Linked DNA regions of Xenopus tropicalis. The protein of the gene in region 3 interacts with the protein of the main gene of each other region in a biochemical or structural test. Links are inferred from orthologs where the notes say so. Each region holds a gene or a part of one and is shown on either strand. Other genes may lie near its edges.

The links.
Region 1: of the proteins of csnk2b (region 3) and chek1, one has a biochemical effect on the other in vitro, tested with the Homo sapiens proteins (2 studies listed by BioGRID, with this or other methods). The link is inferred for Xenopus tropicalis from reciprocal best matches to the Homo sapiens genes CSNK2B and CHEK1.
Region 2: the proteins of csnk2b (region 3) and tnfaip1 form a complex in vitro, tested with the Homo sapiens proteins (2 studies listed by BioGRID, with this or other methods). The link is inferred for Xenopus tropicalis from reciprocal best matches to the Homo sapiens genes CSNK2B and TNFAIP1.

Annotation. Positions count from the first base shown.
Region 1 is NC_030683.2:74,045,665-74,049,317, forward strand, and holds part of chek1 (serine/threonine-protein kinase Chk1), read right to left. Parts: intron 3,596-3,653; coding exon 3,464-3,595; intron 454-3,463; coding exon 352-453; intron 1-351. UniProt on the Homo sapiens protein: Serine/threonine-protein kinase which is required for checkpoint-mediated cell cycle arrest and activation of DNA repair in response to the presence of DNA damage or unreplicated DNA.
Region 2 is NC_030678.2:47,414,849-47,418,931, reverse strand, and holds the start of tnfaip1 (BTB/POZ domain-containing adapter for CUL3-mediated RhoA degradation protein 2), read right to left. Parts: upstream 2,878-4,083; 5' UTR 2,841-2,877; exon of another isoform or gene 2,751-2,840; intron 1-2,750. UniProt on the Homo sapiens protein: Substrate-specific adapter of a BCR (BTB-CUL3-RBX1) E3 ubiquitin-protein ligase complex involved in regulation of cytoskeleton structure.
Region 3 is NC_030684.2:74,732,378-74,736,030, reverse strand, and holds the end of csnk2b (casein kinase II subunit beta), read right to left. Parts: intron 1,918-3,653; coding exon 1,728-1,917; intron 525-1,727; coding exon 434-524; 3' UTR 253-433; downstream 1-252. UniProt on the Homo sapiens protein: Regulatory subunit of casein kinase II/CK2.

The DNA.
Region 1 (3,653 bases), on a different chromosome or scaffold from region 3:
TAGTAGATTTTTATAAAAGGATAAGAACAGTAAGGATCATTGGGGGTGTTAAGATGTTAGGCACCCCCCTTTACTGCTAAAGGTGGCCAATGTTATTAATACATGAACATAAATATAAAAACCAATGACTGCAATACATAGTGCATTCTAGCAGCAATGGCTGCACTGAAAGTTAATACACAGTCAAAACTGCATGTGTAAGATTTTAATTGCATGTCGCAGAACAGAGAAATCTACTGTGATGGTAGTCAGTTACTTGCGAGCCACAGGCAGACAAGGGGTCGACTATAAACACACTTTTAGATAGCTGGCAGCGTAGCAGTAACAGAAAACCCAAAGCATTCAATATACCTTAGAAAGTCTAAAATCTAACAGAATCCTGTCTTCCATTTCCACAAGGTTCACCTTGAATATTAATTTATTATTTCTTCTGTCAGTAGTTGATAGGGTGACCTGTAGTAGACAAAAACAAAGTACCTAATTATACAGATGCAGTTTTTTTCTTGAAAAACAAGTATACTAATAATGCTTGTATTAACTTACTTCATAATGTAATTGTATTAACAAACAATTAGACTACATATTATAACAGTCCTTTAAACAAAAAAATTATCGCATAAGCAACCAATATTCTTTTCTTCCAGTTTACAGCACATGCTCTCATCTGCTGTCAGTTACCCTCTGTACAGTTAGGGGCTGTTATGGCACATAATACGCTGTCAGGGAGCCAGGTTTGCAAAAGCTGAGTTGGCAGGCGAGAAAATTCATATACATTTTTTTCATTTTGGGGTCTCTACATAATGCATACTTTGAAGCACCATATGCATAGATATACCAAACCAACAATTCCTATTTTCCTAATCAAATTAGGAATTGTTGGTTTGTTAAACAGGTAGCGTAAACTAAAGAAAATTGATTTAATTCTCTAGCACATAATTATTTATTCATTGCTCTGTGTATGTACAGGTATATGCAAAATATGTGTTTGCACTTGCACAGTATGTATGTGAAATGTAATGTTTCTTTTTGGGTGGGCCTTTAATTTGCAATTTTGTCTCATTTGTATACTCCGTATGCAAATGTGATAACAAAGCTGGAGACCTCTGGCATTCATATTTGGGGTAAACTGCTTTTGTATGTAAGAAACTGTGTAAGATAAATGCGTCATATTGCAACATTTTTAGACAGATTGGTACTTTGGTAAAGACGCCTTTTTACACCAATGTTGAAACTGTCAAAATGTGTACTTTCCAAAAACATATTGTTTTCCGTAAGCTTCTGTACAGTTAGGGGGTCTTTCATATATACAATATGCAGTCATGGGGCTCGTTTTGCAGAAATTAATTTTGGCAGACGAGAAAACTTCATTTGGCAGACGAGAAAACGTCATATGCTTTATATTTAATTTGGGGTTTGTACATTTCACATACTTTGGTATATCTATGAATATTGGGCATAAAACTGTTCAGTAGACTTCTGGTGTTCATATTTGGGGTGATTTGCCTTTGTATGTAAAAAAAAACTGCAAGATAAATGAGGCTAATTGCAAGATTTTTAGGCGATTTTTAAAAATGCTTTCAGAACCGCTAACCTTACAAAATTTGCGCTGTTTCTAAAATATATGGCTTTCAGAGGTCACCCTACTTTTTTGCAGTTTGTACCACACATAAAACTGCCAGTGTGTTTATGGATTAGGTGAATGGAAGTCATGAAATTAGTGCGCATAAGGTATATTTTGGGGTTCCTGAGGGCCATGTGCTTTGATAAACCTATGTACAGTGAGCATCAAACTGTTCTGTAGACCTCTAGGGTACCTAATGACCTGTAGGAGATAATATGCTGGAAGTTTTGAGGTGATTTTTAGAAAGTTCATCAAAATCAAGACGTTTAGGAAAGAACTTTTTTCTAGGTTTACCCCACTTAAAATGCTGTCAATGTGTTGATTTTGCAGTAACATGACAGATAATATGGCAAATAGAATCAGTTAACATGCGCTTACACAGTGAAAATAGCTTTTTGTAGCCCCAGGTGCACGCTGTACCCACTGCCCGGGCAAATAAGTACAAAAATGATGAAAACAGCAGCACTCCGGTTGTTTTGAAAAAATTTGAAACTTTACAGTGCCAAAAGCAACATTTCAGGCTTCAATCCAGCCCTTTATCAAGCCTCTCATCTCATCACCATTTATGGGCCTCTAAATGCCACATACTTGGGTAAACCTATACACATCTGGTATCTGGTAACTGTTCAGTAAACCCGTGGTGTTCATAGGAATAACAAAAAGAAAAAAAAAACCCATAGACCTTTGTGTTGAATACAACAATAGGCAGAAACTATGTTCAGCACAAGCCCTATTCATAGATGCTGAAAAGGAGGTAAACTGCCCCTTTATATGTACTGATTTTTGGATAGTATTTCTGGACAGTATCCAGTGACTGCTGTCTGATAAAAAAATGTGCCATGTTCCTAATTTGCCATTTATGATTTAAAGAAAATTAGTAAGCTCCACCAATTATACTACAGCTATGGGATCGCTTATCCAGAAACCATTTATCCAGAAAGTTCATCTCCCATAGACTCCATTATAAGCAAATAATTCTAATTTTTAAAAATGATTTCCTTTTTCTCTGTAATAATAAAACTGTACCATGTACTTGATATCAACTAAGATATAATTAATCCTTATTGAAGGCAAAACAATCCTATTGGGTTTATTCAATAAATGATTTTTAGCAGATTTAAGTTATAGAAATCCAAATTACAGAAAGATTCCTTATCTGGAAAACCCCATATCCCGAGCATTCTGGAAAACAGGTCCCATACCTGTACCTAAATTGTTATTCTGACTATTTTCCCTGGCCTCACTCCAGCCAAAAATGTAAACACCCTGAGGTTTCAGTTTCAACAATTGCTGCTTGTGTTGAAAAGCCAAAGATCTTAAGGGTCTATATTACTTGTACAAGAACTATTACCCCAAAATATACCTCAGAGCCAAAAGGCATTGTTAAAATGGCAACAGAAATGTAAAAATTTCAAACATTAAAAAGCACACCTTTACGTTTCGTTTACTGCTTTTTTGAAGAGCAAGTTTCAAAGACCTTTAAATCTTTTCAGACTACTAGAATTGGCCTATCATTATTGCTTTTACATATCAACTTTTATTGAAAAATTAAATTTTACAGTAATAGCTTAGAGATTGATTAAGATCACCTTTGATCCTTCAATCGTCAAGACAAAAACAGTCTGCAAGGTGTATGTACATTTTTGACCCATAGGAAATAAGATTGTTTTCTAAAAACAAGGATAGAAGAAACTAATGTACACTTTTTACTTTTATAGTTTTTTTGTGTTTACAATAAATAGTATTTTTGTTTGTTTTATATGCTTTTTCTTGTTTACTGGGGTTTTGGAAAATGTAAGCCTAAAATCATATGATTAGAAGCTTTATTGAGGGGGTACTCACCTGGTTAGCACAAGACTTCTTTAAAACATATCCCATTTTTTCACAAGTGTCCATCAAATTGCTGTACGAGCTTTCAGCATCCACTTTTGTAAAGAACCTGGTCATTCTTTTGACCAAACGTTGCCAAACATTCTACAGAATTAAGAAAAAAAACTAGGTTGGCAAAAATTGAATAGCACAGGCCATGTTA
Region 2 (4,083 bases), on a different chromosome or scaffold from region 3:
TAGGTACTGCTATTGCCACTGCATACCCCCATTACTATGTTTGCCAATGCCCCTTACTTGCATTGCCAGCTACTGTAATTCCCTTCCTGGCCAGGCCTCCCCATACTGTTACTGTAATTCCCTTCCTGGCCAGGCCTCCCCATACTGTTACTGTAATTCCCTTCCTGGCCAGGCCTCCCCATACTGTTACAGTAATTCCCTTCCTGGCCAGGCCTCCCCATACTGTTACTGTAATTCCCTTCCTGGCCAGGCCTCCCCATACTGCTACTGTAATTCCCTTCCTGACCAGGCCTCCCCATACTGTTACTGTAATTCCCTTCCTGGCCAGGCCTCCCCATACTGTTACTGTAATTCCCTTCCTGGCCAGGCCTCCCCATACTGCTACTGTAATTCCCTTCCTGGCCAGGCCTCCCCATACTGCTACTGTAATTCCCTTCCTGGCCAGGCCTCCCCATACTGCTACTGTAATTCCCCTTCCTGGCCAGGCCTCCCCATACTGTTACTTGTAATTCCCTTCCTGGCCAGGCCTCCCCATACTGTTACTGTAATTCCCTTCCTGCCAGGCCTCCCCATACTGCTACTGTAATTCCCTTCCTGACCAGGCCTCCCCATACTGCTACTGTAATTCCCTTCCTGGCCAGGCCTCCCCATACTTGTTACTGTAATTCCCTTCCTGGCCAGGCCTCCCATACTGTTACTGTAATTCCCTTCCTGGCCAGGCCTCCCCATACTGCTACTGTAATTCCCTTCCTGGCCAGGCCTCCCCATACTGTTACTGTAATTCCCTTCCTGGCCTCCCCATACTGTTACTGTAATTCCCTTCCTGGCCAGGCCTCCCCATACTGCTACTGTAATTCCCTTCCTGGCCAGGCCTCCCCATACTGCTACTGTAATTCCCTTCCTGGCCAGGCCTCCCCATACTGTTACTGTAATTCCCTTCCTGGCCAGGCCTCCCCATACTGTTACTGTAATTCCCTTCCTGGCCTCCCCACATTCCCTTCCTGCCTCCCCTACTGCTACTGTAATTCCCTTCCTGGCCAGGCCTCCCCATACTGTTACTGTAATTCCCTTCCTGGCCAGGCCTCCCCCTACTGTAATTCCCTTCCTGGCCAGGCCTCCCCATACTGCTACTGTAATTCCCTTCCTGGCCAGGCCTCCCCATACTGTTACTGTAATTCCCTTCCTGGCCTCCCCTGTCCTGGCCAGGCCTCCCCATACTGCTACTGTAATTCCCTTCCTGGCCAGGCCTCCCCATACTGTTACTGTAATTCCCTTCCTGGCCTCCCATACTGTTACTGTAATTCCCTTCCTGGCCAGGCCTCCCCATACTGTTACTGTAATTCCCTTCCTGGCCAGGCCTCCCCATACTGTTACTGTAATTCCCTTCCTGGCCAGGCCTCCCCATACTGTTACTGTAATTCCCTTCCTGGCCAGGCCTCCCCATACTGTTACTGTAATTCCCTTCCTGGCCAGGCCTCCCCATACTGCTACTGTAATTCCCTTCCTGGCCAGGCCTCCCCATACTGTTACTGTAATTCCCTTCCTGGCCAGGCCTCCCCATACTGTTACTGTAATTCCCTTCCTGGCCAGGCCTCCCCATACTGTTACTGTAATTCCCTTCCTGGCCAGGCTCCCCATACTGTTACTGTAATTCCCTTCCTGGCCAGGCCTCCCCATACTGTTACTGTAATTCCCTTCCTGGCCAGGCCTCCCCATACTGTTACTGTAATTCCCTTCCTGCCAGGCCTCCCCATACTGCTACTGTAATTCCCTTCCTGGCCAGGCCTCCCCATACTGTTACTGTAATTCCCTTCCTGGCCAGGCCTCCCCATACTGTTACTGTAATTCCCTTCCTGGCCAGGCCTCCCCATACTGTTACTGTAATTCCCTTCCTGGCCAGGCCTCCCCATACTGTTACTGTAATTCCCTTCCTGGCCAGGCTCCCCATACTGCTACTGTAATTCCCTTCCTGGCCAGGCCTCCCCATACTGCTACTGTAATTCCCTTCCTGGCCAGGCCTCCCCATTACTGTCTTACTGTAATTCCCTTCCTGGCCAGGCCTCCCCATACTGTTACTGTAATTCCCTTCCTGGCCAGGCCTCCCCATACTGTTACTGTAATTCCCTTCCTGGCCAGGCCTCCCCATACTGTTACTGTAATTCCCTTCCTGGCCAGGCCTCCCCATACTGTTACTGTAATTCCCTTCCTGGCCAGGCCTCCCCATTACTGTTACTGTAATTCCCTTCCTGGCCAGGCCTCCCCATACTGTTACTGTAATTCCCTTCCTGGCCAGGCCTCCCCATACTGCTACTGTAATTCCCTTCCTGGCCAGGGCCTCCCCATACTGCTACTGTAATTCCCTTCCTGGACCAGGCCTCCCCATACTGTTACCTGTAATTCCCTTCCTGGCCAGGCCTCCCCATACTGTTACTGTAATTCCCTTCCTGGCCAGGCCTCCCCATACTGTTACTGTAATTCCCTTCCTGGCCAGGCCTCCCCATACTGTTACTGTAATTCCCTTCCTGGCCAGGCCTCCCCATACTGCTACTGTAATTCCCTTCCTGGCCTCCCCATACTGTTACTGTAATTCCCTTCCTGGCCAGGCCTCCCCATACTGCTACACGCTAATGTGTCGGTCGGTACATGGCCCTGCATGTGAGCCATCCCTCTGTATCATGCTATGGGCGTGTGGCTGATAATAAGCCCCTGTGTGACAGCGCCCCCAGTGGGGCAGTTCCTACAAGCCGTACCTCCGTGCCGCATCCTCTGTCCCACACACACCTGCAGCTACACGGGTTACTACTAACAACACTACATACAGGGCGCTCCGCTTCACTCACTTCCCCACATCTTCCTCCATCTTTTCCACTAGCTGAGGTCACTTCCGCAACTTGTTGCCACAGAAACCGCCCGCACAATCATCTTGGGTCAAGTTAGGCACCGCCCAGCGCCAGGGCATGCTGGGAAATGTAGTAGCAAGCTATACTGACCTACGCCGCAGCTTTACGCATTTTAGGCAATAACAAACTAAACTCCCGGAAACCCATGGCGCTGTCCCTCGGCATTAGTTCCCTGGTCATCGCTTAAACCTCGCTAAAAAGAAGGAATTAATACTAGCGGACATATTTAGTTCTGGATTTACCGGTTAGAAAGTCGTGGGCTTTAACATGACCTTTTTTTATAACTGCAGACTTTTTACTCTCTAAAAATGTGTGTACGCCAGAACAACTATATCTTATGTGAACGCAGTCAGGCACCTGTGGTAATACACCTCCAGTATTAAATATGTTCTCAATTTGCATCATATCGCTTCCAACAGAGATTTAGTCACTTTCCGTGAGGACGATTCGAAGCTCAACTACACAATCAAGTTTCTGGAATAATGTTTTGCCAGTATGCAACATGGCGCCCACATACTCAGCTTCCGCTTTGTCACTATGGAATCTAGATTGTGTCCTAGGAAGTGACGTCTGTAAACAGCAGCGAGTTGTATCCGTGGCAGCTGAAGCCGAAGGGTACCGGGAGGTAAGAGCAGCTGGTGTGGGGCAGTAAATGTGACCGTTCCGGGGACTTTGGGGCTAATGGAATAAAAGGCGATAATTCTGATACTGAGCAAGTTACTCATAGCATCCAGTCTGCAGGTGGCATGTCGTTGTTACAAGCAAACATCTGGTTGCTATGGGTGACAAGCCCTTGGCAAAAATTCCCAAATTCATTGCGCTCCACAGAATTTTCAGCGTTAACAGGGCAGCTTTTGCTGATTGGCAGCTCCACCTTGTGGGACTGGGGTAGGAGACAGTCAGTCAGCAACAGATACAGCGGCATAGTAGCCTGGAACATTCCTACACTAGTATGTGTCTAATAAATAACACAATTATCTTCATTATCAGCTTTATGAGATGTACCTAGTGATTGTATTAGGCTGAGGCTGCTTACAGGGCTAGTGTAGGGCAGGCAGGACAGAGAGGGGCAGTTCTGGGGCACTATGGGGCAAACTGGCCTTTGTGCTCAGAAACCTGCAGCCACTGTGCATAAGGAAATCTCATCCTGTCTGTGCACTTAGTGCATCCATGGCAGGGGAAT
Region 3 (3,653 bases):
TTGTTAATTTTTTATGAACAAAATTGTTCCGTGTGGATTGCAGTTTATTTCAAACGCAATCACTGCTGCCCTGCAACATGTATGTATTAGGCATGTCCCTGAAAGTGATCTGGTCAACCTAGGATAAGTTGGATCTCTATACTCTACTAATGATCATTTAACCCCATAGGATTGTAATGTATCCCATACCTGTACCTACATTATTTTTTGCAGAAGTATTTTCCTGGGGAAAAAAAAAAAAAAAAGCAACAATTCTTTATAATTTTATTTAACCACAACCGTAAATTGCAGTAATACACTTTAAACGGGACTAAAATCAAAATTGTGAGCAAATAATACACCGAAACAAACATTTTTCATTGTCAATGGAAGGAAGGAAATGAGGTTTATGGGGTGTGCAGACCCCATGTATAAACCATTTAATGGGCAATACTCAACGCATAGTCTTCACAGGACTTTTAAAGTTGCTGGCTGCTTGTAGCTGAAGCTGGTATGCCATAGGGTGGATTTTGAAGCCATATAACCTAGAGAAAGAAGGAGAGACACAATGAGAATTTAAAAAGACAGAAGAGGCGCACCAGTAAAGTATGAACAATATCCTACCAAGAGCTTAATTCTTTTATAAGAATGAAGCATAAATGAACTGTTCAAAAATATTCTCCCTGTCAACAAAGTGAGTCATGTATATTCATGCGAAAGAGAAAAATTACATAATCGTAACATTTTTTACCCTCACAGATTTACCCTCCATCATGACACTGATGGAGTACTGTGATGAGAGTAATGCTCTAGGTTACAAGTAGGGATGCACTGAACCCAGGTTTTTTGGTTTCGGCTGAACCCTCAAATCCATCCCGATGGATTTGGCCAAATATTGGACTAAATCCAAAAGGTAAAAGTCTCTGAGCGAAGAATTTTTCACTTCCGTGTTCACATGGACATTTAACCCTTCCTAATCCTAATTAGCATATTATTGGTTCAGCCAGGACTGTGGATTTAGACGAATAAAAACCCTGCTGAAAAAGGCAGAATCCCGAACCAAATCCTGGATTTGGTGCATCCCTACTTACAGGTTCCATTACTGATATGTAGGATTTATAGGACAGGGGAGGCTAGTCATGAATGGCCAGGATCTATATAACATCTTGGAGAATTTAAGTGAATCTGATTCATTCAGACTTCCACCTATACTGGAGATTTGCTGAATTAAATGGTTGGTTTTAACACTAAATGGTTAAAATTCCATTTTCAATATACTTCTATATGTGCGGTCACATATCATGGGTTGCTCCCTTCCTCAACTAAACCATAACCTAACCTAATGACACCATTTTTTGTAAGAATTATTTTTAAGGGCAAACTTAGTGCTGGCACTCTCTCTTTTTTGTATATAAATAATGTCTATCATTTTAGAAGTTGGTCAACTCCAGAATGTGGGTTAGACTAAGCATGGGTACAAGGATGCTTCTAGCAGCTGGCCAATGCCACAACGTGGATTAGACCGAGCACTGGTGATTTCTTTCCATGTTTATTCAGAAATAACAAACATTTATTATATAAAATTAAAACAAATAAAAGGTTTACATCATGGACAGTTCCCATGAATGATTCTTCTTTCTAGAACACAGCTTTCTAATGTCTCTCTTTAACAAATCCATCCGGCTAAATAAATCTCAGTTCAGTTTGAACTGTTTGTATTACAATAACAAACACAATCTGCATCTTACCTTGGAACAAACTGATTGGCTGGCCTCTTGGGCCTATACTCAGGGTGAACCATAAAGAGCATGTGAGGAAATCCAGTGCCAAAATATGCTCCATCGGTGTGATGATGGCGTGAGGATTTGGGTGTGTAAACATCCATACACTTAGGACAATACAGCTTTACCATAGCTTCCCCAGGAATATCTGAAAGACCTAGTAAAATATATAGGAATAATGTTGCATGAACCCTAAAATAGTTATACAAATTAAACTGTACCCACTAGAGGGCACAGACCCCCTTTCTTTTGTGTCTCAACACAGGAAGGCAGATTTGTCAATTTTCAAATGTTAGAAAAAAAAATTACATGTTCAATCTTAAAGCTAGGTTATTTAAGAGAAATCTCAAATGGCATAATCACAACTGAAAACAAAACCCATATTGTACTATTCATTTTCAACGACGGTGTAAAGATTAAATGATTTGATAAATGTAAACTAAAATAAAGTTGCTTGGAATCTTCAAATACGCTTCCACTTTTTATTCAAATTTGCATTTTTTTTCATTAACCAACTGTTAATTGCTTGAGTCTGAATAAACACAAATGTGAGTATGTTTGAGCTTTAAAACTGTGATAAAGCACAATCTCAGATTTTAATAAATTGGTCCCTTAACCTCCCACATAGATTTAGATTGGTGGCTGTTGCATTTTAGTTCAGGCCACCTCACTTTAGAAGGAAAAGGCACAATCACTGGGGGGCTGCCAAGTGTTAGGAAGTCCCCAGTAATTGTAATGACTTACCTAACTACCCTGGGCCGGTGCTCCTGTTAGGAGAAAACTGCACTGGCTTGGGGTACTGCACACACGCAATCCTCTTCATCCTGTTCTTCCTTTGCAATCCTGGGGCCCGCGCATGCACAGAAGAGTGAAACAGGCAGCTTTTTTTGTTAAAGTTCAGCTTTTCAATCTATTGCACATGCGCAAGTGGTGCAGAGACAGAAGGAAGGGGATCACTGGCTCAGAGGTACCCCAGGCCGGTACAGTTTTCTGCTAGCAGGAGCACCAACCTGGGGTATCGCCTGACATTTTGGCACCCCTCAGTGATTGTAACCTTGTTATTCGCTAAAGAAGGAAAGTTACAGACTGACTAAATTACTAATACACTGAACAATGTGCCAAGAACATCAATACAGCAAACAGGGCCCACGCTGCTTTAGGATAGCAAAAATAGAACAGATTTAGGAGGAAGTTATATATCAGCTTAACAGACATTGATGATCCTTAGAAGTTTACAAAAACAGCTGCCCTTTTTGTTCAACCTTTGTAAATCAAATTGCATTATAATATTTTTAAATCACAAACTAAACTATACCTTTATTAGTTTTGCAGAAAATTGTTGACTTTAAATATAAGGAGCATGTCAAGTCAGTGGTGGAGTTCCTAAAGTGATAAATTAGCCTGACTGACAATGATAACACTTATAAAATGTAGTTTGGAACATGCATGGTATAAATGCCTTCCCTTAAAACATAAATAGTTTATTCATGATAAAAGATATAGAGAACCATGTGAATACCACAGAATGTAGGCCAGTTGTACATAACACAACCTCATTTTAAAAAGCATCTGAAAAATACTGACATTTTATTCTCTGGGGCAAATATTGTATATACCCCAGTGATATTCCCAGTAAAAGATTATTATATAGTTATTGGACAAAAATGTCACAGGTAAAAAGTACACAATGAAACAGCTGCAAGCATATCCACATAGAATTTAGAGGGAAAATTAATGGCAGGTAATGCCAAAAGTTGTAGTCATCAAAAGCAGGGGTGTGTGGCTTTGAATTCCATCTTCTAAAACATTTTCATTTAGATTTTCTTAAAAGGGTGGTTTACTAAGAATTGTCACTGCTTAAAGGGGACCGGTCACCCTAAGACATAACTATTT